4 linked regions of the Lepisosteus oculatus genome follow. The protein of the gene in region 4 purifies or fractionates together with the protein of the main gene of each other region. This does not show direct contact. Links are inferred from orthologs where the notes say so. Each region holds a gene or a part of one and is shown on either strand. Other genes may lie near its edges. The genes, in order: zinc finger C3H1 domain-containing protein, exosc9, c1d and mphosph6.

Region 1 (6,948 bases), on a different chromosome or scaffold from region 4:
GAGATGTGAGCCAGCAGTACTAACAGCCACACTGCCATTTACTACATAATGCGAGTAAATCTTAGAACGTTTCTCCACTGGTGCAGTAATTAATTCAGTCATTTACTGAGTCCTATTGGAAATGTTTTTGAATTAATTAATACAAGGTGTAATCTGAAAAAACCTGTCTTCAAATCAATCTTGGCGATGATTTCATCACATCATGAAGAACAATGCAGGAAAATCTTGTCCAAGACACTCAAATGCTGTATGATTAATACAGCTTTGTGGTGTACGCAAAACATCTGTGGGAGAAATGCCTGCTAAGACTAAACCGAGTCGGACATCGTTGTGAATGTCATTCTGTGTTACTTACAGTATAAGGCAGGTCATCTGATTCTTTGCTGCTTTGATAAGAATTGTTTAAATCCAATTCCTCCTCATCTTCCTTATCTTTAAGAAAGAGAAACAAGCTTAACACTTCTCCCATTGGACTTGGTCAAAGTAAAAACAAATGACTAATCCGCACACTTTCAAGGCAGACATTACAAGTTCAAGACAGAGGCAATCCACAAATTAAACGGAATTGTAGCAAAAGACTGACTTATTAGGGTAATTATTAACATCTGTAAGGATGAAAAGGCATTACAAAGAGAACCATTAGAGTAATGTAGTAGAAATAAAAAAGGAAATGAGAAAAGTGGCATATCACACACACATCTCTAGTAAGTGGGAAAAGCCCTATGGTGTTTATATTTTAGCGAGGTCAAATAAAATGGTGAATGTGATGTACAATTATGTTAAGGTGGAATTTTCTTTACCTTTTATTGTGTCACTGGGCTCAAGGGGGCTTATTTCAGCGTTCTCTGACTTTTCTGCTTCCTTCGTGTTTTTCTTGTTCATCTCATCTCTTTCCATAGGGGTCAGAAGCTTCTGCCTTAAAGGTTTCAGGTTAAAAGCCTGAAAAACTTTGATTTCGGGCTTCTCCGGAGGTGGAGACTCTTTTATAGCAGCTTCCTTCTGAATACTGACCGTGCCTGAAACAGCCTGATCAACACTGGGGGCTCCTTCTACCTCTTTCTGAGGCGAAGGATCTTTGGAGCTCAGCGCCATCCTCTCCTCCTTCCTAATACATTCCAGCTCATGTTGAATTTGCTTATATTTCAAAAGCAAATCCTCAAAGCTTTCTTCAATACCATTTTCGGTTTTGGCAGTGTTATGAATGGGTTTCCTCACCTGAGGTCTCCCAAACAATTTTGCTGAGTAAAGAAGTGAAGGAAGATAAATATCTGTAAAACCGAATCAAAAACATGCTAGGTTTGCATTATATAACAGTTTTACATAGCAAATGTATTACTAACTAACCATTTGTATTATTTAAAATTGAGTGAGCACAAGTGGAAACAACATGCATTTAAAACTTGTTTTACAGTTATGGGAACATGGAACAAGCTACCCTGGCATGTTATTGAAGCCGATAACCTTGGTTTAGAGAAAACAATGGGATGAAATTAATCAATTAATAACTACCAGCTTGATGGGCCAAATGACATCTTTGTTCTTATAAGTGGACAGTTAATCCACAAGAAGAAAAGGTGTTCACAAATAATAGTCTTTGCTTAAAGGTGTCAACTGTTAGTGTTTTGATTATGAACCATTCATCTGTGATTGCTTTACTTTTCTTTACAGAAAGATGAAAGAACGTCTGTTGAACACATGAGCAGTGAGGAATTGGACCAATTTGCTCCAGGAAAATGCCCAGCTACGTGCATGGGTACAAACGTAATGTGCTTTTCAAAAAAACCTCAACCAAATATTCTTCCTCGCACTAGTTTGGGTTTGTGTGTCCGCTATCCTATACCGTACAACTCAAGGGGGTTGCGTTATTCCTGAAGTCGTCTGACTGTGCCAACAGCGGAAGTCAACTGTACAAACGAAAGAGGATTCTGCGCCTGTTAGGTGCTGACGTCGACCTCCGGTCTCGACGATTGTTCTTGAGCTGTCTGTTTAAAGCCTTGTAGCAGAGCTAACATATACCGTATGTATAATAAGAACAAAAGATACATTTTTGCAAATGTGGTCGGGGTAACGCCTAGAAACACGACCGGGACACAGCTCTTATTCGTCTTAGGAAAAGGAATATTTATAGCCACAGTTACCCAAAATGGTCACATTAACATTTCGAGTGTGGGCAGCGAATCTACAGAAGCCGGTCATCGCTTCAACATGTGCGATACGAATTGTAACACGCTGTACGATTCACTGTCCAGGAAAGTATAAAAATCAACGGGTTTTGAAGTCGGACTCGTACAGTGGCAACGAAGGACGGGCAAGGATACGCTTTCTTGGAGGGGACTCCTTCCTGATAGGTGCCCCGGCGAATCCAAGTCGACATGGGGGCGGCCTTCCAGTCCCTCTGCCCCCAACCCCCTCACCCCAACCCCCTCTGCCCCAGTCTCCGCGGCCATCGTTTGGCCTCCGGTACCTCAGCCTGCCCAGCGCGGTGTGGCTGCGCTCCCAGAAAGACGATCTGGGACCCGAGTCGCAATGCTGGGCTGACAGCGATCGGTCGGGGACGCCTGCTCCACTTTGCTGCCTGTGGCCAGTTAAGTTGGGGGGATGAGGATGGGGTCCCCGGTTGAACGGCATTTTCATTCGGAAGTCGAGGCCGGGTCCCCCCATGGGAGGCGGCGGTAATGTCCGCGGTCCGGGTTTGGGCTTCCGAGCGAAACGCCCTGCGCTGCTGTTACAGCTGCTGCTAGGCCTCTTGTCACGGCGCACGAATTGCCTTTCATCGGTGTCATCGTCGCTGATCTCCCCGTCCTCCAGCTCGCCTTCTTCCCTCGGAGACCGAACGCTCGAGCTCAGTTCCATCGCTATTCCCTACTGATGTAACTGCTCTGGAAGGCAGGAATGCTCCTGGGCCAGGTTGTGAAATCAGCAATTACAGACGTGCAATTCCCCAGCAGTCCCTATCTTCTTTCCTGGTCCGAGATCCGGCCTCACGTCGCTCTCTTCTATCGCGAGACTCGCAAGGAAAACCGAGTGTGCGCAAATGTCGTAGGAGAAGCTGCGTCTGCCAGCGTGTTAGACGTTTGCATGTTGATAGGCTGTGTGTTTCCAGCATGCAATGACAGACGCAGAAAGTTGCGATTTACTTGTGGCATGTAACCTTACTTTGGTATTTTTGGTTTTTCGTGTTCCTCAATAAAAGTGCTGAACTGATGCCTTAAATTCGTTCGTGTACACGAAGCAATTGTAAATTCCCGAACGTCATGTGTAGCATTGATGCAATGTTAACTGTTTTCCGTGATTACATTTTAACCTTATGGATTCTTGTTTCCATAAATCTTGCATGTTAAATTTTCCCGGGTATAGGAGAAGCTGCTCATTTAACCACATGAAGTAAAATATTTGAGCATTCCTAAATAACCTGAAAGACCTGACTTGAATGAGTTGAGAGCTCATTTACTGTCCCAAAAATTTACCCTGAAGAATATAACGGGACACTGCGAAAGTCGACATTTTTAGTAAAATATACAGTGCAAATCCGCGCAGCGACGTTTGACCGTATTGTTCAAAGTTATTTACACTTAATGAATCTTAGAGGTGTAGATGCTTTTATTTTTCCAATTATTTACTTCTTTGCGTGTCGTTTACTAACGATGAAATTAGTAAACATGTAATTATTTAAATCATTTAGAGATTTCCAAGAATTTTAAAAAAGAATTACATTATAACACAAAATACTATGGCAGAAAAATAATATTAGAATGGAAATGTTATATATTTAATTCAGTTCCATTCCAGTGTGGGTGGTTGCTATAGTTTCATAGTTCTTAGGTCCTTGGTTCAATTCTGGATGGGGTGAATTCTGCGTGGAATGTGCATTTTATCTTTGGGTCAGCATGGATTTACTTTAGGTGCTCTGTAACTATCACATGAATTGCCCCCTTTGTGGGGCATAATACAAAAGTATTAAGAAAAATATCCTCCAGATCTTTAGATAAATTCACACTAAAAACAGTTTATGAGACAGGTATTTTGAAAATTATTAACATGAAGCATGTTCTTTAAAAACGCCATCATAGATGGGCTTGGGGGAAATGTATCATGTTCCTGAACATTATACGTTACAGTACCTTCCGAATGTATTCAGACCCATCCTATGGTGTCCTTTTTCTAAAATCGCAAAACAATACACATTTTTTTTAAACCTAATATGTCATTTAAGACCTGAAGCCTCAGACTGAATATCTCTAAGGGTAGGATACAACACAATAAATGTCAGCAAACACTAAAGAGAAAAGAAAACTGAAATATGTTGACTGCATAAGTATTCGGACCTGTGAACTCAGTATCTGTTGGAAGCACCGTTGGCAACAAATACAGTTTCATGTTTAATCAGTTTGATCTGTGGCTAAGGATCTGCGCCTGTGGCTGGAAGGTTGCTGGTTCAAATCCCACAGCTGGTGGGGAAATCCTACTCCATTGGGCCCCTGAGCAAGGCCCTTAACCCCAACTGCTCCAGGGTTGCTGTACAATGGCTGACCCTGTGCTCTGAGCCCAAACTTCTCTCTTCCTGTCTGCCTCTCATGGAAAGCAAGCTGGGGTATGTGAAAAGATGAATTCCTAATGCAAGAAATTGTATAGGGCTAATAACGTGATGTTGTTGTTATAGATAGATAGATAATACTTTATTAATCCCGTAGGGAAATTGATGTGTTACAGCAGTCCAGCCCAAGACAAGCAAAACAGACATCAGAATAGTTATAAAACAAAAGACAAACAAGATAAATAAAAATAAATAAATACATAGGTGTGTGCAAAATGTGCTGATCATAGTCATTGTAAAAACAATAAAATATGTGCAAAATGTGCATAGGTTTATACAGACTGATTGTCCAAAAAGTACAATGGAGTAAACATGCTGTCCATAGAGGAGCAAATGAAGGGCTAACAGTCCTAGCCTAGGGCAGCGTTATACACCCTGACAGCCGCCAGGAGGAAAGACCTGCGGAAATGTTCCCTTGAACACCGTAGCTGGAGCAGTCTATTGCTAAATGTACTCCCCTGCCCAGTAACAGTCCTATGAAGCGGATGAGAGGTGTTCATGATGGCTATGAGCTTGGTCAGCATTCTCCTCTCAGCCACCACCTCCATGTTATGTTATGTCACCTCATGTTATGTTATGTCATTTTGAGTAAGTCTGTGTACAGTACCTTTGTGTACCTTTGTACACCAGCTTCATGGAATTTATGCCCACTCTTCTTGGCAGATTTGCTAAAGGTCTCTCAGCTTTCTTGGGTATTGCTTCTGTACAGACGTTTTCAAGTCTTTCCAAAGATTCTAAATAATTCTAAACCACTAAATGTTGCCTGCACATTGCCTTTCTATGTTCCCAATACTCTTGTCAAGCTTACTAGTCCCAGTTTATGAGAAGCAGTCACCATTACTTTCACTGGTAATAATGCTTTGAAAGCCTTGAGCAAGGCTGCTTGTTGTCAAAACTGTTATCTTGCTTCTGCTTTTTTCAAGAAATGGATATATGAGATTCTCCAACAATGTATTTGGTAGAATAAAAAATATACTGTAAATAGGCTGTCTGTCCTCTTATTTTTCAATCTTTTTTATGTTCTGTGAAACCCAGCAAGAGCAATATAGGGAATTTAATGATGATGGATTTGAAAGAATGAATTTGAATTTACAGTGCCATGCAAGAGTATTCAGACACTTGCATAGTTTTGACATTTTGCTGCTTTGTGGCTTACAGTCATTTGTTATATATACCTCTACACATCAGTCACAAAAAGAAAGAAGTCAATAATTAATATGAAAGACAAATGGAAAAGTTGTGACTGCATAACTATTCAAAACCATTGTTTGTACATTGTTTGTCATTTGTACATTGTTCGGTGCAAATGAATACCTTAATGTTCCAGCTAGGTGACTTAGAAGTGTCTCTTAGATTTTAGATAACGTTTGTGACACTGAGAAGAGAAAATACTTCTAATTATAAAGCAAAGAGGATGTTTGCTGATGTCTGGGGGAGGTCCCTTGGGCAGAAACAATGGTAAAGTTTACCTTAGTATACCTAGGGAAGTTATAAGAATAATAAACTTTATTTTATATAGCACCTTTAAAGGTGGCTTCTCAAAGCACTTTACAGAATGTCAACAACAATAAATGAAAAAAATACAATAAAGAAAACAATTACAATATACAGAAGAGACTGAGGATGGTAGTACTAAGAAAAGCAGAAGAATGGAACAGTTAAGTAAAGGCTTTTCTAAAGAAGAAGGTTTTAAGTCTGGATTATAATGAGTTTAGAGAAGGTGACTCTCGGATATCCTTAGGCAGAGAGTTCCAGAGCTTGGGCCCTGTCACCCATACAATGTAGACGGGCTTGGGGGACAGAAAGGAGACCAGAATTTGAAGAGCGAAAGTTGCGAGGTGGGGAGTAGGGCGATAATAGTTCAGACAATTATTGAGGTGCCAAGCCATGCAGAGCCTTATAAGTGAGCATGAGGATTTTAAAGTCAACACAGAATTTGACCGGAAGCCAGTGCAAGGACTCCCAGGACAGGAGTAATGTGAACACTTGCACTAGACCTGGTCAGGATTCTGGCTGCTGAATTTTGGACATACTGCAGTTTGTTCAAAGTAGATTTAGATACCCCAGTGAGTAGAGCATTACAGCAGAGAGAACACAAATGTGTTGATCAGCTTTTCAGCCACAATTAGTGACAGCATAGGGCCTAGTTGAGTGATATTTCTGAGGTGAAAAAAAGATGTTTTGACAATATGCCACAGATGTGGGTCGAATGTTAATCCAGATTAGAATATCACTCCAAGGTTTTTCAATTTAGACTAAGTATTTGAACCTTATTAGAGTGTGCTATTCTGTGTTTTTAGGGAACTTGAGTTTCCTGGGTAAAAGATACCTCAGTTAAAAACGTCTTTCCTGAT
Region 2 (7,961 bases), on a different chromosome or scaffold from region 4:
ATCAAGGCAACATAGGATGAGATTTTTATTAGAAATTTAATGGGAAAAGTTTTTTTTCTTTCACAATCCTGCATTAAAACAGTACAGGACATCATCATAAGTAAATGTACAAATAAACCAAACCAGACAAGAAAGATGTTTACATGATACAAGTAATGAAAAGCCAAACAGCTAGCATTTTTGTGACTCATTCCAAATATTTATGACTTTTATTAACACAATGTTTACTAAATTAACTGAAAATACAAATGGCATCAAAAATAAATTTGACTTTTTGTTTAGGGTAAACCCTGTACTGTTTTTGCAGACTTTGGAAAATTCTGTTTTCTGTACAATGTTGGCCACCACATTACAAAAAATATATTGCTGCTCTGGAACCAGAGAAAAATAAACAGATATATTTCGGACCTTAAAGGAATGCCCTACACTGACAGGCTAACATTTCCCAATCTTTTAAGTCTTGAATGTGTAACATACATCCTGCATCATCAGTGATGTCTCCTGGTATCATTGGGTGTTTCGGGTCTTTCAACATCAGACACCCTCCCCCCAGGCAACCTAACAGAGGCCGATCAGACCCTGGCCTGCATCCACGTAGCACCCATGGGTTCCTTGTCCTGATCCACAACCATCGTGATGCTTTTTCCATGGCTTCAGTGGCAGCTTAGATAGCCTTCTCCCTCTGACCACCAGTGATGCCCAGGTAGTGGTAGGTCCTATTCAGCGTCTTTGGAGTCTACTTCAATGGGCGTGTATCCTGCCCTCCAGCTCTTTGAGTGGCACTGCTCCACCAGGTCTTTGTATCTCTAGCAAGAATACTACATTGGCAGCCTGATTCGATTCTTCCTAATCCTCAAAGGCTCTGACAGACTCAGTCCTTTGGATTCTTGAACCAACTGGCTGCTAATTACCAAATGGGATAGATGGCCTTATTTTGTAACCTTTCAATTTGTCATTTTGGATTCTTTTACCACTTACCAACAAACCTTGTCTGAAACACAGAAACAATACAAATACCGACAGCCATCTTTGTGCTGAATCCAGTAAATAACCATATGATCATTTCAGTTTTGAGCCATGGTACTCATGAGGACACCACATTGTTGGTAATCATTAATTCATATGCAGCTGCCAGATGAAGCCCGGAAATTACAGCTATAAAACCAATTTCAATAGTTTTTACATGGTGCTATCAATATTTATGGCTCCCTCTGCAGGGATCTCATGACCATTATTACATATTGTTTTCCCCAAGGATTCAACAGCAAGCAAAACCTTTGTTGTGCAACGGAGGGTACTAATTATGAAAGCCCAATATGTGTTGTACTCAATCTGGAAGTCTCCCATGGGTGAATTAAATTATAACAGTGCTCAAGGTCAAGGTCCTCACTGTGCTACTGTTAACAGAAGAGATGACCTTCCTTAACGCCTGTTTGAACACAATCTTTCAAACTGGGGGGAAATGGAGGCAGCTGGAAAAAAGTGCTAGGTCTGTGCCAAGTGAATGTTTGCAGTCTCTTTTTTAATTATTCAAAGCCTTTGGCACACCATTTAAATGACAAGAATCCTGCTCAGAGGAAACCAAAATAAACTCACTGCTCCTTTTTGCATGTAAAAACAAGTTTACCTTCATAGTGCTGCCTGCTTAGCAGTAGATGATATTTCTCTTTTTTCTTCTTAATAAATGTCTCATAAAGATCCAGGTGTATGAAAATGGATTTCCTTCAAAGGCAAGGAATAGTTGGTAAGACCATCCTCACACTGGGATTAAGGTGCTTGTACAGAAGAAGTAATAACTAAACAGTGTATAAACAAACATCCATTCATTTTCTAATCTGTTTATCCAATTCTGGGTCTTCGGAGAGGTGACTCCTATCCCACCAGGCACAGGGCAGGATACACACTGGTGGGACGCTAGTTTATTGCAGGACACACACAGACACACACACTCACACCAGAGTCAATTTTCCCAGAAGCCTATTAACCCAGTGTGTCTTTGGACTACTGAATGGGAGCACTTGGTGGAAGCCCATGCAAACACAGGCAGAACAGACAAACTCCACACAGACAGCACTCTAGGAATTGAACCCAGAGCCCCAGCAATGCTAACCACTGCAGCACTATGCTGGTCTAAACAAACATGTCCTTCAGATCTTTCCACTCCAGAGCTGAGAAAAACATGTACTTTTTTCAAATGCCATTTAAAAACGTAGTTACCCAAAGTCTGATTAAATGCTTCAGATTGCTTTGCTTGCACCTCACACACAGTGACATTTCTGTATTTCCCATCACACATGGCTGAACCTGCCCAGAAGATTTTCTTCTTCCACACTGAAGCAACTCAGTTTTTTCACTTGATAGTGATCATCACTGGCGATTATGGGACACATACACTGTGTGCCAGGCTTTATAATTCCTCTGACCGCGTATATCAATTACTTTAAATTGGATTTTCCTTAAAATTTAAGCCTAAACATTTTTAATTCAGTTAATTTGAAATGATGACTTTCAGTGAGGTAATGTGGCAGCTATCCTAAAATACTTTGAGTTAAATTAACTACCAAAACTCATAAAGACTGCAGTGGCATGATATTCTTTTCTAATCAAGAGATCACTATGTCAGACAGCACACTACAACTCCTACAATAGGACTGTTTTAATATTAGATATATAGAAACAGATAATGTTTTCTATTGATCAAAGTGAAGTATACAATATTTAAAAAACTGGTCAAAACACTGACAATCCAAGACTCTACTCTGTATTTCATTACATTTTGTCTGACTGATAACACTGGTCTGTAAAGCAGGAGGCTACAGCAAACACCAAATAATAACAATAACAGCATTTTCTTATTACTTTGTGCATTCACATGTATGTAACTGTAAAGCTAAACTGTAAAGTTCATTTCTGAACGGATACATCATCCTTTAAAAAATGATTTGTTTTATTATGTGCTCAATCATTTCTTTCACACAAATGTGAGGCTCCATGGCTGAAACATTGTGTCACACCTGAAGAAGGCTCCATGGCCAAAATGTTGTGTTTCTTTTCTTCTTTTTAGCATGGAATAAACCTTTACTTCCTCCTTTACAGCCCACGCATGCTGACACAGGTACTGTCATACTTGAGTTATGGAGGCAGTCAGAATGCTCTCTATAATGGCTCTGTAAAACTGTATTAGAATTAGTTGAGAGATACCCAAGATTTCAGCTGGTGCAAAAAGTACATTCTCTGCTCTGCTTCTTTCTGATACTGGTGATATTCATGTCCCATTTAAGGGTATTTAGAGTTCATAATTCCCAAAAAGTTCACCACAGACACCCACGTCATTGATTACCAGGAATTACCAGGGAGAGAGGCTTTCGAGAATGTTTCTAGAAATCAACCATTTCTACTCTTTTAAGGGTATTAAGCTCTGGGTACTTGCTACAGCACCATGATACCTACTAATCCAGACCTCCTGTACATAGCCTCATCATCATTAGTGATGAGACCTACAAGGGTGATGTCATCTGCAAACTTATTTAGTTTGACAGAAGAGTCGCTGGAAATGCACTTGCTGGTGTACAACAAATAGAGCAATGGGGAAGGCACACGTCCTTGAGGACCCCCTGTATTCACATACCTACACAGCCCTTGCCTTCTATTCAGGGAGAAAGATGAAGATCCACTGGAAAGGGGAACATTCAACTATTGCAATTTATTGTCATTCTGGAATGATAGTAATAAATGCAGAACTAAAAGCCTCAAAAAGAATGCTTGCATACACACCTGAGAGTTCTAGATGATGCAAAATGTAGTGAAGACCCATGGTAGCAGCATCATCACTGACCTGTGGGCCCTAAATGCAAACTGTAGAGGATCAAGATGTGAATCTGTAACAGTTTTGAGACAGCAAAGTATCATGCGTTTGAAAGTCTTCATTATGACAGACGTAAGAGCAACTGGTCTGTAGTCATTTAGACAAGTTATTTTGTCCTTCTTTAGTACAGGAACATAATGGAGGATTTAGAGCAGTTTGATAATTAGTGGAGCAAATCCAAAAACACGTACCTCAGGTTTGGCTGGTTATTTTAAATTTCCAAGTTTCATGAGCTTTTCAGAAAGTTATCGTGTGTCTCGAAGTTTAAGGACACAAAATGCACTAATATAAGGACAACATAATGATTCAGCCCAAAAACATTTTGACAGGTAGACAAAACGGCTGACACACAGAAGACGGATGACAATTGAAATTATTTTCTGCAGCTGTTTTAATGTCCCTTTCAAACATCTCAGGTACTACCTCACGTTAAATTTTATAAAAGCTCTGGGAAAATTGAACTACGCATTTGGTATTAAGTGTACGGACAACTGTATACGATTACAACTTCCTACTTCTGAATTCTAAAATAATAAATAAAAAATCGAACTGCATTTGTGGTTTAAACAGACGCTGTTTTTTTTAAAACGTTTTAATGGTAGTAGATGAAGAATTTAGTATTTAAAATTCCGTGACTGTGTATCATACGGATCACTGCATTGGCAGCGGAAGACTGCTGGCTATTTGACGCCACACTGTGCTTTAAGCAAACAATGACATTCAGTGAAACCAGACTACATTTACGGAGGGAGGTTACATCTCATAGATGTCAGACAAAACTATTTCTATTAAAATAGGTGACTGAATTTATTCGAGGCCCTCCTTGACTTTGTACTAGCGATCTCCCGCAGCTACCTTTTATTAAAGGCACGTTTTTAACGGAAAATGTGCACGCTGAAATGGCAACGTGACGCCAAGAAAGCAGCTGTCAAATAAGTCAAAGTTGAGAACAGTGGCGTAAAATCAAAGATATATAAGGTACAAAGAAATCTATACAGTATTTAATATAGTATAGTGTCTTACAACCGAAACGCATTTCACATTCACGTGACTTCACATTGACGTCGCATCATGTGTGTCGTCATCCGTCTGCGCCTAGTGCATGTCGTGAGGGGAAACAGAGAGTCCATGTGTAGTAGTTACAGGTTCTGCAGAAATTCAGAATGAGGGAAACGCCGCTGTCCAATTGTGAACGACAGTTCCTCCTGACAGCCATAAAAGAGAAAAAGGTATGATTATAATTTAGAGCTTTAGTTAACTTGAACAAATCTGCCAAGAAGAATGGGCAAGATTGTTGTGCATAGTTAAAGACTTAACCAGAGACGTGTGACAGTAATTTCAGCTAAATGTGTTTTTTAGGAAATATTGAGATCAGGGTTTTGAATACTCACGCAATCAACATATTTCATTTTTTTCTCTTAAGTAACTTACCCTTAGGAGTCTTCACTTTGTGCATTCGATTTCTTAAAAAAGTGCATAGTTTTGTGATTTCCCAAAGTGAGACACCCTAGGACGCGTCGAAATACTTTTAAACAAGTAAGCAGACCATTAAAGTCATCGGTTAGCTCTGGAGATTTAGAGCTCAGCGGGAATGAAACCCGGCAGAGGTACAGGGTTGTGACCTATTGATATTGTTGTTAGTTTTCGAAGGTGTTAGTTACTGGGACATTTCTTAGGCCTGCATTAATATTGAGGTGGTAGTGGTTAAATCTCTGGATTCCTGACAGGTTTGCGTGCCGCGGCAGTACTCTTGAACATGACGATTATATCCAGAGTGCACCAGCAGATCCAGCTGTATAAATAGGTCCCAAAATGTGAATGTAAAAAGAGGTAATCTCTTGTAAATCAGCAAAAAATTATATCTGCAAAAAAACTACATAATCTGAAATATTTGTTAATATCTGAAATTATTTTTGTGCATAATTTATTATTTATATAATTTTGCATTTTGTTGCTTATTAAATACATTAGCTCCTGAGTCAATCTTCAGTATGATGTTCAGTTCATTTCTAAGGCTCTTCAGTAAATATGACACATTCATTTGTAGATAGAAACTAATTTAAAAAACCTCGTCATGTCCACTTTGTAACCATACTGTTCCTTCTAGATTCCTAATTGTGAACATTTTAGATTCATTTGGTGATTTTAAATGTTCTGTTAAAAAATACACTTTCATGCTGTTTTTCTTCTTATTGTTACTCTCTTAATATACCTGACATCTGAATATATCTGATAAAACACTGTAAAATCAAGGGGAAAAAAGAACATGCTTATTGTTACAAGTTTAATTGATAAACAATATATATGGAAATAATCTCTTTGTTTACAACACTACCATTCAATATATAAAGATATGAAACTGAGAAAGGCGTACAAGAATAAAATAATATTTGTTGGCTCTGTAAAACAAAATTGAAAATGATTTTTTATTTAGTCCATTATTCTAGTTTTTGAGATAATGTGAGATGTATTTTAACATGAGCCTGTGTTTAGTTCTAACGGTGTGGTATATATGATCTATATAACTCAATAAAGTTTTGGAACTTTGAAATAAATATCACATTTTTTTTTTTTTTTTGTTTCAGCGCCTAGATGGAAGACAAACGTATGATTACAGAAATATCAAGATCACCTTTGGTACACAGTATGGATGTTGCATTGTTGACCTTGGAAAAACAAGGTAAACGTTTGTCTAATCCACAATTAATGAGAGATTAATTAAGAGTTTTAATGAAAGATAAGAAATCTTGTTGAATGCTTAATTCTCAGCAAGTCAAATTAAATGTGATCTCAGGCACATTGGTGTTTAAATTTGAACATTTATGCCTGCATTGCTCCATTCCCTGCTATCTGCACTTTTTTCACCAATTCTGTGTTAATAATTAATACGAATGTATTTCTGACAGTTTGTCTTCTTTTTTAAGGAGAAGAGAGTAAAGTACATGTATTCATAGTTTGATTTGTGTTTGAATGGATTTTGTAAGTATTGTGTAAATGAACCAGAACATCTCTTTATGATGCTGAGTGTGAAAAGTACAGCAGCAGTTCTCAAACTCTCTTGGAAAACTATTCACCTGAATTGTAAGGATAGCACACATTGTAGGATAGCAGCAGACATTTTATTGCTGTTAAAAGGAGCTGTTTCCATACCTTTGCTACTTCAGTAGCAGTTACAAATGTGAAACTTTAAGTCTTTAGGTGGTTTTATAATGAGAGGAATTTGTTTGTTTCACAGGACAAAGTTTAAAGGGTGAAATTTTGGTTATTTCAGCCAAAGGTCTAGTTCTACATTTACTTTTGTCCTGTAGTTGTTTTTTGTTGATATCATTGCTGAAAAATCTATCTCTCACAGATCAGGTATGTACAATGAAAGTGTAATGTCCCACATCAATTTCCCTACGGGATTCATAAAGTATTATCTATCTAATGTTCTTTGGTATATCTTGTTATCTTGTGATTACCTTGTTAATTTAACACAGCACTTAATTGCTTGTGAAAAATACTTTATCACTTACTTTTTGTGAAGCTCTCCTGTCCAACTGTGATTTTTACCTGTAGTAATCCAGTTAGGAATTTACTGAAGAATTTTTGCATCCTTTTGAGTGAAAAGACAAATTCATAATGAAAGACACTGTATATGGCTAATAAAGTGATCTTATCTTATTTTCAGAGTGTTGGCTCAAGTTTCCTGTGAACTTGTCGCTCCGAAAGAAAATCGCCCAACAGAAGGAATTCTCTTTTTCAACCTGGAGCTATCACAGATGGCTTCCCCTGCTTTTGAACCTAGCAGGTATAATTCCCAGCTACTCTTCAAATATAATTTTAATAAGGAATTAAATTCAGACAAATAACAAAGGATGCCAAATTTAAACAAAACAGTGTGGCTTTTTTAAAGAAAAAAGTTAGGAAACCCATGTTATTTTGAAACTCAGTAAAATAGTGAGTGTCACTGTCTTATCTGTGTGCCTTTCATTTTGGATGTACTCTGTTGTTACTGTATGCTGTATATTATTCTTGTCTTAGACCTACAATACTACACATAATTAATCAACACACATCCCACATATCAAACTAGTTAGAGCTGCAATGCATTAAA
Region 3 (7,182 bases), on a different chromosome or scaffold from region 4:
GCTCTCTGATATATACACTAAATCTAAATTAAGGGCTGTAACAGTACAGCAATAATTCAGTAACAGCATTAGTATTTCATACACTGTACCATAATAAACCCAGTAGTTAACAGTCTAATTATGTACAACGTGGATCCTTTCAAGATGGTTCAAATGGCTGCTGCCAGTAAAAATCCCCAACGTTTAAAATTTTAGACTGATCTGGTCAGGAGATTGTAAACTGGCACACATTTTTCCTCTGGTACGATCATTTGATCAATGTAACATTAAGCTGATGTGGGAACAATTTGTTCTTTTCCAACTGATTCACAAGTCAGAGCTCAGAGGAAAAAAAAACCTTGGAATCTTAAATCAACAGTGATACAGTAAATAATTATATAATTTTGTAATATTACAAAATAAAATAAGAATTTATTTTGCTGCTTATTTCAGGGGACTATATTGATTCTACTTTCCAAATGTAGTTTTTTTTACTCTGCAAAAGACAACTGTAGGGAACAGACTAAGCTCTCAAAATGTAAACAGTAAATATAAGGAGTTTTGAGAAAAACTACCAAACATATTTCATATCTTCTCTTCCATTTAGTTTCGTTAATGATTAAGTCATGCTTCAGTAATTATTTCTCGGAATATTGTGTTCAGTGACACTGTGTTATTTGGTCTTAATCGGTTGGCAGGGAATTATTAAAAAAACTGAAATTAATATGTTGTTCTACAAGCCCAGATCAAGATAATCGTAGAATCTAAACATTACAGCATTAACTGAGTTTAAATATCTTGTTCCTAACTCAATTATGTGATATGGAGGAATAAGTATTGTTCTGACATTGCAAATTAAAGAAAAGTAGGTCACAAGTGAATCAAACGTTTTTTAGGTAGTTTTTGGCTATGTCCCAGTTTAACATACACTCACGTTTCCCAGAGAATTGACATTTGTGTTCATGAGACACTACAGTCTGCTCATTGTATAAAACAATAAACACTGATTGGCTATTTTACCTGGTAAACCATGAACAACAAAATATGTATACACACCAGAAGCAAAACTCAGCTAAATATATAAACAGAAAGGCAGAGCATTTCTCAAATTTGTCATGCTAAGGGATTTGAAAAGGTCTGGCATATCACTGAAAAGTTACCCTTTAGGTAATTTTAAGTTATACCAACTTACTAGAAATTACACATTAATGTACATTATTTGTGTTTAATAGATCAAATCTCAGGTTCTTGCACTTTGATGCCCACTGTTTTGGTTCCACACACAGAACCTTCCAGTCTATACTGTATTCTGTGAAGATTGCTGGGCAAAGATACTCACCCATATATACAGTACATACACAGTTCAAGCCCTGTTCTGTAACAGATACTGTGTAATTGAAGCACAAAGGCTTTGGGAATTTACAAGAGCAACTGCATTTCAAGATGTATCCTATGACTTCCAAAAGCTATACCACATCACAGGACAGCACATAAAACTGTCACATCTCCCTATTCAACACATCACAGTGTGCCAAAAAAGCTTTTAGTTTATATTAGTAAATGAGTCGTCTCAAATGAGAAAAATAAACATATTAAAAAAAGAACACAAACTGACATTTTTCCAAGTGAAGTCCAATCTTTGAACCACTATCAAAATCCATAAATTCCCGTCATTTACAATGAAACAACAAAAAATAAAAAACGTAACAAAATACTTACCAATTCTTGTTTAACTGCATGTTCTTTTGGGTTTATTCCTTGTGTCACCAAGTATACTGAAACAGAAAAAGAGATGAGGTCACTACCTGTAAATGAAACAGCAGTCATTATAAAAAGGCAGACAGAAATGACTTACTCCAAAACAATGAATTCAGGGAATAGGCAGAAACTAAATCCAGTTTTGCTTGCTCAAGGGGGTCCAGCTACGACAAAAACAGAACACATTAGTCTTCTTATACAGAAACAGCATGAAGCCATTAGGAAAATGAAAATGAATGGCACAATAAAATGAACATTAAGTATCAGCAGAAGGGAATTTGAGCCAAGAATAAAACAACAAGAAATAAAAGCAAGTGCACTTGATATGCTGCTTATTTGCCTACATGATTGGATATGGTGGGACTAATAGAATTTTTTTACCTGTATTTGGATTAACTTTACATTCTTTTTGTTATAACCCAGAAGCCAAGTTTATAAATTACTTATAAGAAACCAAATCAGACTAATACATTATTGTACGAAAACTATAATATTTAATAAATGTTTTTTTACTTTTAACTTACTTGTTGAAGCAGCTCACTCCTGGGTATTGACATCATTGTCTTTATCATGTTATTCACTGAGCTCACAGAGGTCTCAAAGGCTGTCAGGTACTCTTCAATCTCTGTGGGGTAGTCCTCTGCTGCAACATCTTCATCTGCCATATTCTGAAATCCAGAAATGTTTTCAGTAGAAAATATGCTGCTCCATACGGTCCATGCGTTGCTATAAAACAGCTTCTTGCCGTTTGGTGTCTCTAGAAATGGTGTTTAAGTAAAATCTAATCTACAATAGTTTACATGACAAAATTAGTGCTTTAATTTTATTTTCATTATTTCCTAATTTTGTTATTTATTCCTATTTCTTATTTTAGGATCGTTACACAAACGAATCCCAGAAAATAAGTATCCAAGGATTTAGCTTCTTAACACACCTTTACTTAAGAGGACACCTGATGTTGACTTAAGTTTATACTATAGTAACTAAAATTGAATGTTTATTTGTAGCAAAAAGACAACGATATAATAAAACAGAAAAGCACTTTTTCTTGTTGGAATGAAATGTGTGATATTATATTGTTAACCGATGGTCAATATATTTTACGCGGTTCTGAACAGTTTTTGCTATGTAAAACTAAATGATGACATCAAAACACTATAAAATTAAAATTACTAACCATACCTCTCCTCTTTTTTCACCTCCTCTGCTACACGTTTCTCAATAATTAAACTTCCGGGTGAAATTTCCGGAACTGTGTCATTACTGATGCATTATTGGAATCGTAGTTTGCTATTGATCTCAACCAGAATAATTTTTAATTTAGTCTAGCTATAAATCTCCAAACTGGGTAAGATTAATGTAACCGAAAACGTTGTATATAGATATGTATATATAAAATATCAATGCGCGAACGTCAATAAAAATAAATTATTTCGCATTCTATATCTGTTCCTATGGTTACAGCGTCACAGAAATCCAAAACCAAAGTTAAAGAGGACTAGAACCTTTACATTAGTGTATGGATTGTCATAGTGAAATAAAATGGATAACTGTGATTTGGAAAAACTTACAGTTTCTGCGGGAATGTTACACCCCACTTTCTCACCACTTTTAACAAGCTATAAAGTGATTGTTCCCAGCAACATTAGCAAAATAACGTTGGATCTACTAACAAGTGACAGCGGCGCATCATACAAAATAGTAAGTCTAATAAGTGCAATGATTTTTGAGTGATATTGATGTTTTCCGTGGAATGCAACGTACTGTAAAATTACATATTGTCGTATGTGAAGTATGCACTTACACCCACAACGTCGAGCTTTGCTTTAAAAACACAATACATAAATGTATTACATATTTTTAAATAGCAATAAGTATCGGTTTTACAGAAATTCGTAAGGAAACTGCATTGCATCAACAATTAATTAATTATTAATCAGTGGGAAAACAATAGACTGAACTGTCGGCGATCATATTTGCATGATTTTTGTCAGCTGTGTGGTAGTGGGTCCATGGTGATTGAACTGAAAGATGGAGTGAACAAAGTTGACATCGAAGTTATCGCTGAGGACGGAACAGCTAAAATATACACTGTTGAGGTAACGAAACTGTCTGCCAGCGCTGCAGAGCTGAGTGGCCTCGAATTTCCTGAAGGTTTACAGCTCCAGCCAGCATTTGCTACCACCATCTTCGAATACTCGTGTGAGTACAATATAGCTACAGTATTAACAGGTATTTATTTCTATTTGAATATCTGTTTCGAGTTACTAAATACCCATTTCATCTACCCGTTTAGGTACTGTTCCTTTCAACCTAAATGCTTTAACTGTCCAGCCCAAAGTACCAGACAGCAACATGAAGGTTTCTGTGAATGAAGCAGATCCCTCTGACTCTGTACCGCTAACAGTGGGGGACAGCCTGCTGGAAGTCAAAGTTTCTTCAGCAGATGGCACCAGATCCTGTGTAAGAGCACACTGCAACATTTTCAAAGCAGGGGGAAGTAAAGTATGCATGGAAAACGACACTGTTTACATGCATTGTAAATAGTAACAAGGTTAAGAGTTCTTAAACAACAAGAGGTAAAAATGAATATGTTATCCCAGTCTTGCTAATTGAAGCATGTCAAATTAGCCAGTTGTGTACAATGTCCAAATATGCAACTTAAACCCCAACATGATACAGTAATGTACATTGCATAATGTCCAAATATACAACTTAAAGAACCATATGGTTTCTTGTCTTTCTCTTCTAGATTTACACAATTCTAATTACTCGAGAACAGATTCCGTATGTTATCACTTTCAATACTGTGAAAGACCAGATGGAATATGAGTGTCCTGTCTCCTTAACAGCATTTTACAGACCTGTCTCAATTAGTGGCAGGTGAGAGGATATAACTTTGACAGATATAATACCGGCTGTATTGATGTTGACTTTTTTAATGCACTTGACACTTGCGATGGAATCATTACAGTGCATATCACCTTAAAGTAGTTTTCATAACATACATGTGTTATTTATATACTTGAGTCATAGAACAAAAAGGCATATCAACCCCATGATGTTGCACGTGTAGTATGTACCTTTGTGAAAGTAGAAAATGCTCCATGCAAGTATAAATCTGAATGACAAAGATATTAAAAAGCAGCCAGACAATTTAGAAATACTGTAGAGTTGGGCTCAATAAAGAGCGTGCTGTAGCGCTGTAGCGCTGTTATTTTATTTCCTTTTGCTGTCTTTTCTGCAGCGATCCAAAGCACGCATTTTCAGCTCCATACATCGATGTCCTCACCCGGCGGTCAAAGGTGGACCCACTAGATGAAAGTCCTCTAGGGGAGAGCTGGAAGGTGACGGAGTACGAAGTGGACAGGAGGATGTCAGCTGCCTCTGTGAAGTGTTGCTTTGCTTATCGAGGTATATAGACTCACACTCAATGATACCTGAATAAGATAGGATAAGCTCACTTTATTGGCCATATACAATTTCTTGTATGAGGAATTTGTCTTTTCGCATACCCCAACTTGCTCTCCATGAGACACACAGACAGGGAGAGAAGCTGGGGGTCAGAGCGCAGGGTCTGACATTTATACGGCACCCCTGGAGCAGCTGGGGCTAAGGGCCTTGCTCAGGGGCCCAACGGAGTAGGATCTTCCATGTAATTAGATTTTTTAAAAATATGTATTAACTATCACTTTGCCAGGTAATGTTAGCCAGTGTTCAGTTTTTTTTTTAACCTTAAATAGATTATTGGACATTGAGGAATGGCATTCCTGTAGTTTTTCCTGAGACAAAGATGCTTAAAAATAATATGCAAGAACTGCTTCATTGAAGCAAGTCCATTACCAAACAGCAGAAGCTAATAAACCTTAGGTCGCAGACATATCTGGATATTTATTTAAAATGTTCCTTATTTTTCCTATTTCGTGTTAAAGGTGAAGGCTTAATAGTTAACATGGCAGCAGCTGAACTTTGCAGGCTAAATTATGAGTGGAGGTTATTTTGATTAGACCATTAGAATAATCCTTTAAAGTAGACAAAGTTAATGAAGAGTGCAAGTTGTCTACCTAAAATAGTGTTTATGACTAATAGTTTTCATTTAAATAAGAATGTTTTGTCTTTTTCCATTTTAAGGTTGTGAGATTGTGCTAAAATTATCAGAGCTTGGCGAACATGTAACACACTGCCCACATAAGCCTCCATCTGAGCTGGATGTAAAGGTCAGGATCGTATTCAGAGGAACTTAGTATTTTTCTGCCAAAGTCCCTGTTTTCAATTTTTTCTTAAACTTTTATCTATTATGTAAAGCCCAATGATCAATATCTGTAGTACAGTATATCTATCATTTTAAATGGAATTGGGTTTGTATAATTTCATTTTACATATATTTATATCCAGTAAAAAGCCAAGTTGTGTTTTGTAGTAGTGTCAAAAGAAGAACTGCCTTGTAAGAACTGCCTTTTCTGAACTTGTATTCACAAAATGTTAATTTTTAATATTTTCAGGGTGAAAAAACTGTAAAATGTAAAATATTTATTTAATATTTAAAATATTTTGTTACTATTACTAATGTAAGCATAAAAAAACATTAGTATTTAAACATTGGGCTTTCATGCTTAGAAACAATTTTAAGAATTCTTTACCTGTACTGTATGTAAAAATAGAATAACTTTGGTTCAAGTCAGTTAAGTGTACCTAAAATGCAATTACTACCAACTTTGTTGATCAAGTGCTGTTGGCTCCAGCGTTGCTAAGATACTCTTTTGTGGGTCACATTCTAAAAAATCAGTCTCTCACTAATGCTGAAAAATATTGTTTAATGTTCCTGTGACATTTTGAAATGTCCTTGTTTGGCATCAGCGCTGGTAGATAGTTATCTATGAGAAGATGATTACTGAAATAGATATTTTGTAAGTCAATCTTTAATATAACAGATCTCTGCCAAAGAAATGTAAGAAATGTGACCATGTTTGTGGTTTCTGTTTTATACTTTTTAAGTTAAACTGCTAATTTTCATAAAGAAAAAAAATAGTAGTAGCATAAATTGACTAGGTACACAGGACCCATGTTTCAGACTAACTTTCCATTCTGTGTAAGAATTTCAATTCTTTTATTTGAATACACAACTTAACATGAAGCCTTTTATTTTCAGGATGTTACGGACTCTGAATGGTACAAAGCACAATCTGCTTCTTCAGATAGTCTTCAAATTGAGACAAAACATACTCTGCAGGTAAACAAAAGATCACATGCTTACTGTAGATCACAATTATTTTACAAAAAGTGTAAATAATTTATTCTTTATTGATTTAAATTTAATAAGAACAGTAAAGATTCCATGTCTGTAGTGTTTTTTTTAAATAAAACATATTAGTAGTACTAAAGTAGTTATAAAACAGCTTTAAAAAACAGAATTATAATTTAAAATTAATAGTATGCATTTTCTGC
Region 4 (7,929 bases):
ACGGGTGAAAAGCTGGACTTACTCCTTGGCCTTGAGCTCTGGCAAATCGAGGTACCAGTGTTCATCGCTGATTATCCTCTTTTCTTCCTCCTCCAGCTGCTTCTTGACTTCTGCGTCCAGGCCGCGTTGCATGAACTGGGGAAAGACGAGCATCGTGCTTCAGTCAAACAAACCACAGCTCCAGGCCTGCCATTGCTCACAGAGTCACAAGACAGGGGCTGGGAAACCAGCTCATACCCAGCTGTTCAGCTGAATGTTCTGCTGGCAACAACCCATGAGAGGCTTGGGAATACTTGTAGGCCGAAGAGAACACACATGTGGTATAAAAAGAACAATTCATCATTGAGTAGGCTGAAGAGGGTGGTCAGGGAATGTCACACACAAAAACCGGTAAATACTGAATATTAAATGGTTGGCACTAAACATGAACTTCCTTCTCCCAGTTAAGTAGTCATATTGCACAAAGTCCTGCTGCTCGAGTGAGCATGGGGTAGTGAGGACTATAGAAAAAGCACAGCACAGATCTGCAGGATCCTATATTGACCAGCTGTAATCCTGCCCTGTTCGCACAGCTGAACTGCCATCACTCAAGAGGCTGAGCTCCAGGGGTTAAGGCCAGACATACTATTTAATAAAAGTGAGCCAGAGAGTTCCCTCCCTGTGTGATTGTGTTTTCCCACAAAGCCAAGAACCTAGCAAAGGCCAAGATTTTTTTCTTTATCAGAAAAAGAAAACATTTTTGTCCACATCTCTTTACTGAAGCAGCACATTGCGCATCGTGTGCTTTGAGCCCCGAGTCGTGTTTAAAACACGCCGCATCTAAAGCTCTTCACAATGTTGATTTCTGGACAGAAACGGCCGATGTCTGAGAAATGAGTCGGATAAACCCTCCAAGTGTGGGAGGAGAGGACACAAAAGCAGAACTCATTGGGAAAATACCAGGGAGATCTGCGAGCTCAGCAAACACGATCACCAGAAAAGAGGGGGAAAAAAAAGAAACCTGCACCTGTAAACCCACTATCTTGAAAACTGGCAGACCATATTGAGCTGTTGATACTTTTGTCTTTCATGTGCTTTGGTGATTAACGGCAGGATCTGCGAAGCGTGCTCTTCCCTGACAACCCCAATATTCTTCACATGTCTCCAGCAGTCTTAACATCTCAAGCTTCTCTTAGGCTTGGGATACACAGCAGGAGGCAATTACTGGGCACTCTACCATTTCACAGGAATACTTAAAGTAATTCAAACCCGGGACAACCTGCACAGCTCGGCTCTCCCAAACGAAAAGAAGCGCCGTGCCAGATCTCTCGCGCGTTAATGAGGTGCAGCGAGCGGACCGAATGATGCACGAGGCCCCGAGACAATTCTTGAGAAGCGGCGTGTCGGGAAAATTTTTGAAAGGGCTTTATCCCCCCCCCTATTTACAGGGCCCCACCGTGATGACAAATTCAGTGCAGAACGGAAAAAAAAAAGAAAACAGGCAGGAGAGACAGGAACACAGAGTTCTTAGACTGCTCAAGGACAAATGTTCCAAGGACTGAACAGAGACGACAAAAAATCAAGCCACTGGCTTTCAGTGCGATTATCTGTAAACCTGGTGGGTTATTTGATCTTCCTTCTACAGAAAGCTTCAAAATGAAGTCATTTGAAAACTTTCACATTATCTCTTTAAAATATATAAGCTCACCCTTTTTGATATGTTGTACTCCACGCTATGTATAACTAAGAACAGTAACGGATGAGAGGAGGCCATCAGGCCCCATGTGTCCAGCTCGGTACTCAATTGATCGTAGGCTCTCATCCAGCTCATTCCTGACAGAAGCCAGGGTATCAGCCTCGTCAGCTTAGCTGTGTAGCTGCACACTCCCACAGCCCTTTGGTTAAAAAGGAGCTCACTGTGCGTCTAAGAACCGCTCCTTCATCTCCGTGCTTTCTCACGGAGGCAGAATTGTCATGCTGTGCGTAGAGATACATTATACTACTATGAAACAGAAGATAATACAGTTTCTTTCACAGCGTATAACAGTATTACATCTTTTTATCGGTCTTTTCTGTTCCTTTTGCACATCAGGGTATTCGATGAACTGAGAAAACTGGTTACAGTACATTTTTGCAGTCGCGCACAGTAGCTGGCAGAGAAACTCGCCAAGCTGCTGTGGGTTCAGCCTCTCCACTAGGATCAGCAGCAGAGGAACACCCGAGGTCTTCTGACATACCCCGATATGTACATTTGCAAATGTCACCAAAAAGAAGCAACTTATAAAAGAGGAAAAAAAAAAAACTCCTTAGCGGCAGTAGTTAACATTTCCGTGGATTCTCTAGGCAGATTAGGAAATGAAACCCGAGGAATGCAGGACATTCTACTGATCTATAACAGGCTTCATAATGGGACCGTCACACACGGATTAAATACAGAGACAGACAGGATATTTACATTACTGATAATAGCAGATACTTAAACAAATGAAAGAAATCTACTTGACTGTTGTACTTCTGGTTATAAACTACTACATTATGAAAATCGAGTGCACTTTTATCAAACGCATGGGCTAAAAGTTACGTTCATAGCCCTCTCAACGTGTTTCAAAAGCACTCACTTTGTCGGATATTAATGGAGTACTCTTAATAAGTATCCAGGTTTTCATGACACACACGTCCTTAATATCTTACTATAAACTCGTGCATGATTTTACAGTTTATACACAAGAATCTCTTGGGAAAGGAGCATGCAATTTTCAACATTTAACACACGGGGGAAAAAAAGGCCCGATACCAAATCGATTAGGAGTCCTGAGACGCCACACTACAACACATTACCTTCATTCGTAAGAGGTTCTTGGACAGCTTCGCGGTACCATCGCTTGCCATTTCAACCACCGAGTTCGGCAAAGTAAAAAAAAAAATCTAATGTTTCTAAAAATATCAACCCTACGTTACTCAGACTAATGCTAAACCTCCAGACGGCGGAGAGGAACACGCTGCAGTACACCGAGCGAGACAGTATCAATCCATCTGCCGATGCAGTCCCCCCCCCAAGCCCAGGCCAATGGATCACCGATTCAGAGTTACCTCTACGGAACACACAGTTACACGTGTCTCCACTCCGCCGCTGTTGCGGACCATAGACAAAGTGTTGAACCATACATTTGCAATTGTCGCCTATTACAAAACAGGGTCGCATCAAGATGGGCGAAATCTAATCCGAGTGCCCGGTTTAGACCAGTTTTATAAATATCACATGATAAATGTATATATTTATTATACACGTAAATGGATCTATATAATCACGGTTAAGAACTGATGCTGTGCATTCGGATTTGAGTCCGGGCTGGGGCTCCTTCTGTGTGGAGTTTACATGTTCTTCCCCGATGATAATACTTCCTTACAATTATAAAGCGTTTTTTAGACACTCCACTCAAAGCGATTTATAGGTAACGGGGACTCTCCTCCTCCACCCCCACCAGTGTGCAGCCCCCACCTGGATGATGCAATGGGAGCCATAGTGCACCAGTACACTCCCCACACACCAGGTCTCGGTGGGAGGAGAGCAGAGTGATGGAGCCAGTTTAGAGATGGGGATTATTAGGAGGCCATGACTGTTAAAGGCCAGAGGGACATGTAGCCAGGACGAGAAACGCCCTGGGATTTTTAATGACCACCGAGAGTCAGGACCTCGGTTTTACGCCTTTTTACAGCACAGTGCCCCCATCACTATCCTGGGTATTAGGACCCACAAAGACTGCAGGGTGAGCGCCCCCTGCTGGCCCCACTAACACCTCTTCCAGAAACAACCTTAGTTTTCCCAGGTCTCCCATCCAGGTACTGACCAGGCCCTCACCTGCTGTGCTCCAGTGGGGAGTTGCAGGGTGATATGGCAGCTGGCTTTCCTACTTGGCCAGAGTTTCCTCGCCAGAGACACGCGAGTGTGTACATCTGTCCAGGGGGTACCCTCACTTTGCGCCTTGTTTCTGCCACGTAGGGATCGCTGGGGTGCGCTCTCCTTACCAGGACTGAACCGTTTCTGACAGAAGATCGAGCAAGAAAAATCGAGAGATTAAGTCATTCCAAACCAGGAGCGATTTTTTTTTTTCAGGTGCAGTTTCACGTTGGGCCGGCGGGACTGCGAGCGCTGAACTCTCGCCAAACTAAAGCGATTGAAGATCGAGAACGACTAAGCGTTGGTCTACTGCTTGAAATACCGTCTTCTTTTACAGTCAACTCTAGGAAACATCGTAGAAGAGTCTTGTGGGGGTGAGTTGAAATTGGATTTTTAACCCGGTGGAATGGTTTGCCTGGTTTCCAGGTAAATGGTTATTGAATAACGCTCAACACTTGAAACATTGACACCCTTTTCCTTGGGGAGAAGACTATAACTCACCAATACTTATAGGGCAATGCATGTATTTTCATTAAATATTCCGAATATAATATTAATTTTAACATCACTTTCTACATATCCTTTATTAGCGTAGATTAGTCCCTCCACACTTCATACTGTGTCATGAGGATCATTTCAGAATAGCACAAAAAGTTGTGTATATTCGTTTCCTTTTGCGAGCATCTGAGTCTGAGTCTGGTTGGTCTGTCTATATTAGCGATGTTCCTATAGCCCGTGGATACAATATTTTTGTTTTCTCTCAAAGGTTAAATTAACTGTATGACTTTTAAATTCCTTCAAGAACACCTGTGAGACCATTTGAGCTTTTCTCCGCAGAACACAAGCGCAGCTTGTATTTTATTGAGAGCAGCAGCTACGCATGAGAGGATATACATAGCAAATGGTTTATTCATGTTATGCTCCGGGAACAAATTTAATATGCTCCCCTGTTTGGTGTGTGTTTTATGAATTCCTGCGCTTGCCCGGCAATCCCTGTGATTGAGCAGAACTTTGCTGTTCTTGATACAATCAGGTGTGCGTGCGTTATTTTCCGAAAGCCCGCGAAGCAGAACCACTTACAATGAAATTTGTTTTTGACTAGTTCTAATTTTCTTACCTGTCATAGCAGCGAAGATGAATAAACTTCGGCGGCATGCACTTCAGAGATCTGAGTTTAGTACACGCCGAGCAGGAAATCGTGTTTGACAAAACAGACCATTTCTCTTTTCGCATGATGTTGTTCAGTGTTTTGTGGTTTTGATGGATTTTTTAAAACAGTTTTTCAGCTAGATTATGATGCCACGAAGTAAACACAAGCAAAAACGAAGAAAACGGCGTAGCTCACACTTTGTTAATAAAGGAGCTGCTGTTCAGACACTGCATTGTCACGCGTTTTTTTCTTGAAAAATGACTAAACTGAATTTAACCTGAAACATCGAAAAGACTGTTTCGCTTTTAATTACTTCTTGTACTTCTTTAAAGAGGAAAAACACAGTTTAACACGTTTTTTTCTTCACACGTGAAGCGACTGTTATTTCCTAATTTTAAAAATATCGGTGCCCACGTAGAAATGTGGTTGTCCGGTGATGATGAATTGGGTATTCAGCTACACGAACTGCGTGTTTAATGGCTAAACTTCTGCCACTGGTGCAAGTGATTACCGGGGTGTTGCTATACAGCAGAATAAAACTGATTATTAGGAACAAATATCATTGTGCTCCACTGCCCACTTGTCTTTCATTACTGTTGATCAAACAGGAGAAAAAAGTAAAAGTAAGCAGAAACGGCCTTAGGGCCAGTGTGAAAATCACTTTAAATACCGCATAGTGCAGTTTGAGTATTTCTTTATTGCAAATGTCAATTAATAGTCATTTGAGAAGAAATATCACGAGAAACCATAGACATAAAAGTGTTTTGCATTATGTAAATATCAATTGCTAGTGAGAACTCAATCGACGCCACCTCTTGTGCAGTTTATGCAAAATTGTGTATCGTTTGTACTGAGTCTGTAGGCAAATATGAATGAAAGATGAGGAATGGGATACTTGATGTGATAACTAGGAAAATATGCTTTAATTGGTGTTTCACTCAGTGGATGTCAGGGCTGGACATAATTTCGAATCAGTTATTTTGGGATCAGTTACTTTTTTTAACCCAACTGATTAAAAACGGCTAATTTTATTTCCACACAGTGGCTCGTGGGCTGTGCATTACAATGAATAAGGCTCGTGGGGAGACTAAGTCGCCGCTGTTTGCTGGAAAGTTGAGAGATCCGTCCATTTTCTAACCGCTTCTTCTAGTTCAGAGTTGCGGGAGAGCTGGAGCTGTATCTAAATCTACTCTGAACAAGCTGCAGTATGTCCAAAATTCAGCAGCCAGAATCCTGACCAGGTCTAGTGCAAGTGTTCACATTACTCCTTTCCTGGAGTCCTTGCACTGGCTTCCGGTCAAATTCCGCATAGACTTTAAAATCCTCATGCTCACCTATAAGGCTTTACATGGCTTGGCACCTCAATACCTGTCTGAACTTTTATCGCCCTACTCCCCACCTCGCAACCTCCGCTCTTCAAATTCTGCCCTCCTTACTGTCCCCCAAGCCCGTCTACATTGTATGGGTGACAGGGCCTTCTCCTGCTATGCCCCCAAGCTCTGGAACTCTTTGCCCAAGGATATCAGAGAGTCACCTTCTCTAAACTCCTTCAAATCCAGACTTAAAACCTTCTTCTTCAGGAAAGCCTTTACTTAACTGGTTCCATTCTTCACCCCTCTGCTCTTAATACCACCTTCCACAGCCTCCTCTATTGTTATTGTTGTATTGTTGTAATTATAATTGTGTCCTATCTTGTGAAATCTTCTTATTTATTGTTGTAGTCTTTTTATTTATTGTTATTGTCATCCTGTAAAGCGCTTTGAGAAGCAACCTTTAAAGGCGCTATATAAAATAAAGTTTATTATTCTTCTTCTTCTTCTTCTTATTATTATTATTATTAAACACAGGGAGAACAAACTGTACAGACGGCACCTCAGGTCTGAAACTGAACACAAAGCCCCAGCGCTTCGAGGCACAAATTCTAACCAATGTGCCGCCAGTGTACAGATCCCAGAACAACCTGCCCCTTGCCGGATGTGTCCCACCTCCTGCTGGTGATACAGCATGACTCAGGCTTGAACTTGGGATGCATGCAATACAGACATTAGCCATTAAGTGGAGCAAGTGCCTTCGCTTGGTGAGACACTTGGGTTCTCCATAAAAATTGTTGACAGCATGCAAGAAGAAATTATGATTTATGTCTTACATTTTAATATTACTGTCATACCATGCCCTTAGGAGCTAAAAGCTGTTTTATGAGTGTTTTTTAGAGTTTAATTTAGAGTCCTGTGATCAGAGTTAAGTGCAACATTGAGTTACTGAATAGAAAGCTTAATTGTTTATGTGTCAGACATTTGTAAAATATGTCTTGTTACATTACTTGCTAGTGTCACACTTGAATGAACCTCCACTGGGTCAGATTCACCGTAGATGTGGCAGCAGCTGTTATTTCTATGCTGATGAAACCCGACATTAATCAAGCACAGTCTGTTTTGTCCTATGGCTTAGATCATGTGAAAAATAGATGCACTTTTACTTCTAAACTCTAGCCAGACTGAAGTTTTGTCAGTTGTATCTCCTTAGTATCTTTGCCAATGTGACAGCCCTTGGCTGTTTACCGAGTAGCTCAACTGGAAGAGGTGTTTTCCCGCATGCAGATGGACTTGTCTGGTGGTGGGTTTGAGCCTGTCAGTGACAGAGAGACCCCTGCACCCTCCCATTTGCTCCTAGGCATGTAGGGCTCTTGGTGAGAGATGTCTCTCCTCCAGGTCTGATGCAAGAAAGCGAATGAATGCTGTTGTCTTTTGCTGGCTTGGTTATTGCCATGTGTTTCTTACTGGTGGTTTGTTAAGTTAAGTTGCAGGATGTAGCTGTGCGGTTTTTAAAGGAAAACTAAAATGCATTTATTGCCTGTTTTCGGTTAATTGCACCGATTGCCTGTGGAGCTGAGAATTCAAAATAC

Evidence for each region.
Region 1: the proteins of mphosph6 (region 4) and zinc finger C3H1 domain-containing protein purify together in Homo sapiens (affinity purification with mass spectrometry; 3 studies listed by BioGRID and IntAct, with this or other methods). This does not show direct contact. The link is inferred for Lepisosteus oculatus from reciprocal best matches to the Homo sapiens genes MPHOSPH6 and ZFC3H1.
Region 2: the proteins of mphosph6 (region 4) and exosc9 purify together in Homo sapiens (affinity purification with mass spectrometry; 5 studies listed by BioGRID and IntAct, with this or other methods). This does not show direct contact. The link is inferred for Lepisosteus oculatus from reciprocal best matches to the Homo sapiens genes MPHOSPH6 and EXOSC9.
Region 3: the proteins of mphosph6 (region 4) and c1d purify together in Homo sapiens (co-immunoprecipitation; 3 studies listed by BioGRID and IntAct, counting the BioPlex papers as one, with this or other methods). This does not show direct contact. The link is inferred for Lepisosteus oculatus from reciprocal best matches to the Homo sapiens genes MPHOSPH6 and C1D.

What each region holds. Positions count from the first base shown.
Region 1 is NC_090702.1:22,680,182-22,687,129, reverse strand, and holds the start of zinc finger C3H1 domain-containing protein, read right to left. Parts: upstream 3,021-6,948; 5' UTR 2,854-3,020; coding exon 2,319-2,853; intron 1,239-2,318; coding exon 801-1,238; intron 433-800; coding exon 356-432; intron 1-355. UniProt on the Homo sapiens protein: Subunit of the trimeric poly(A) tail exosome targeting (PAXT) complex, a complex that directs a subset of long and polyadenylated poly(A) RNAs for exosomal degradation. The RNA exosome is fundamental for the degradation of RNA in eukaryotic nuclei.
Region 2 is NC_090696.1:10,753,237-10,761,197, reverse strand, and holds the start of exosc9 (exosome complex component RRP45), read left to right. Parts: upstream 1-4,954; 5' UTR 4,955-5,028; coding exon 5,029-5,094; intron 5,095-6,450; coding exon 6,451-6,545; intron 6,546-7,535; coding exon 7,536-7,655; intron 7,656-7,961. UniProt on the Homo sapiens protein: Non-catalytic component of the RNA exosome complex which has 3'->5' exoribonuclease activity and participates in a multitude of cellular RNA processing and degradation events.
Region 3 is NC_090712.1:8,566,140-8,573,321, reverse strand, and holds the start of c1d (nuclear nucleic acid-binding protein C1D), read right to left. Parts: upstream 3,005-7,182; 5' UTR 2,918-3,004; coding exon 2,915-2,917; intron 2,406-2,914; coding exon 2,262-2,405; intron 1,902-2,261; coding exon 1,835-1,901; intron 1,755-1,834; coding exon 1,699-1,754; intron 1-1,698. Other genes in the region: uncharacterized protein, read left to right, coding at 3,280-3,438, 3,732-3,939, 4,034-4,200, 4,490-4,620, 4,985-5,151, 5,869-5,954, 6,887-6,967. UniProt on the Homo sapiens protein: Plays a role in the recruitment of the RNA exosome complex to pre-rRNA to mediate the 3'-5' end processing of the 5.8S rRNA; this function may include MPHOSPH6.
Region 4 is NC_090715.1:14,997,280-15,005,208, reverse strand, and holds the start of mphosph6 (M-phase phosphoprotein 6), read right to left. Parts: upstream 3,017-7,929; 5' UTR 2,869-3,016; coding exon 2,818-2,868; intron 136-2,817; coding exon 23-135; intron 1-22. UniProt on the Homo sapiens protein: RNA-binding protein that associates with the RNA exosome complex. Involved in the 3'-processing of the 7S pre-RNA to the mature 5.8S rRNA and play a role in recruiting the RNA exosome complex to pre-rRNA; this function may include C1D.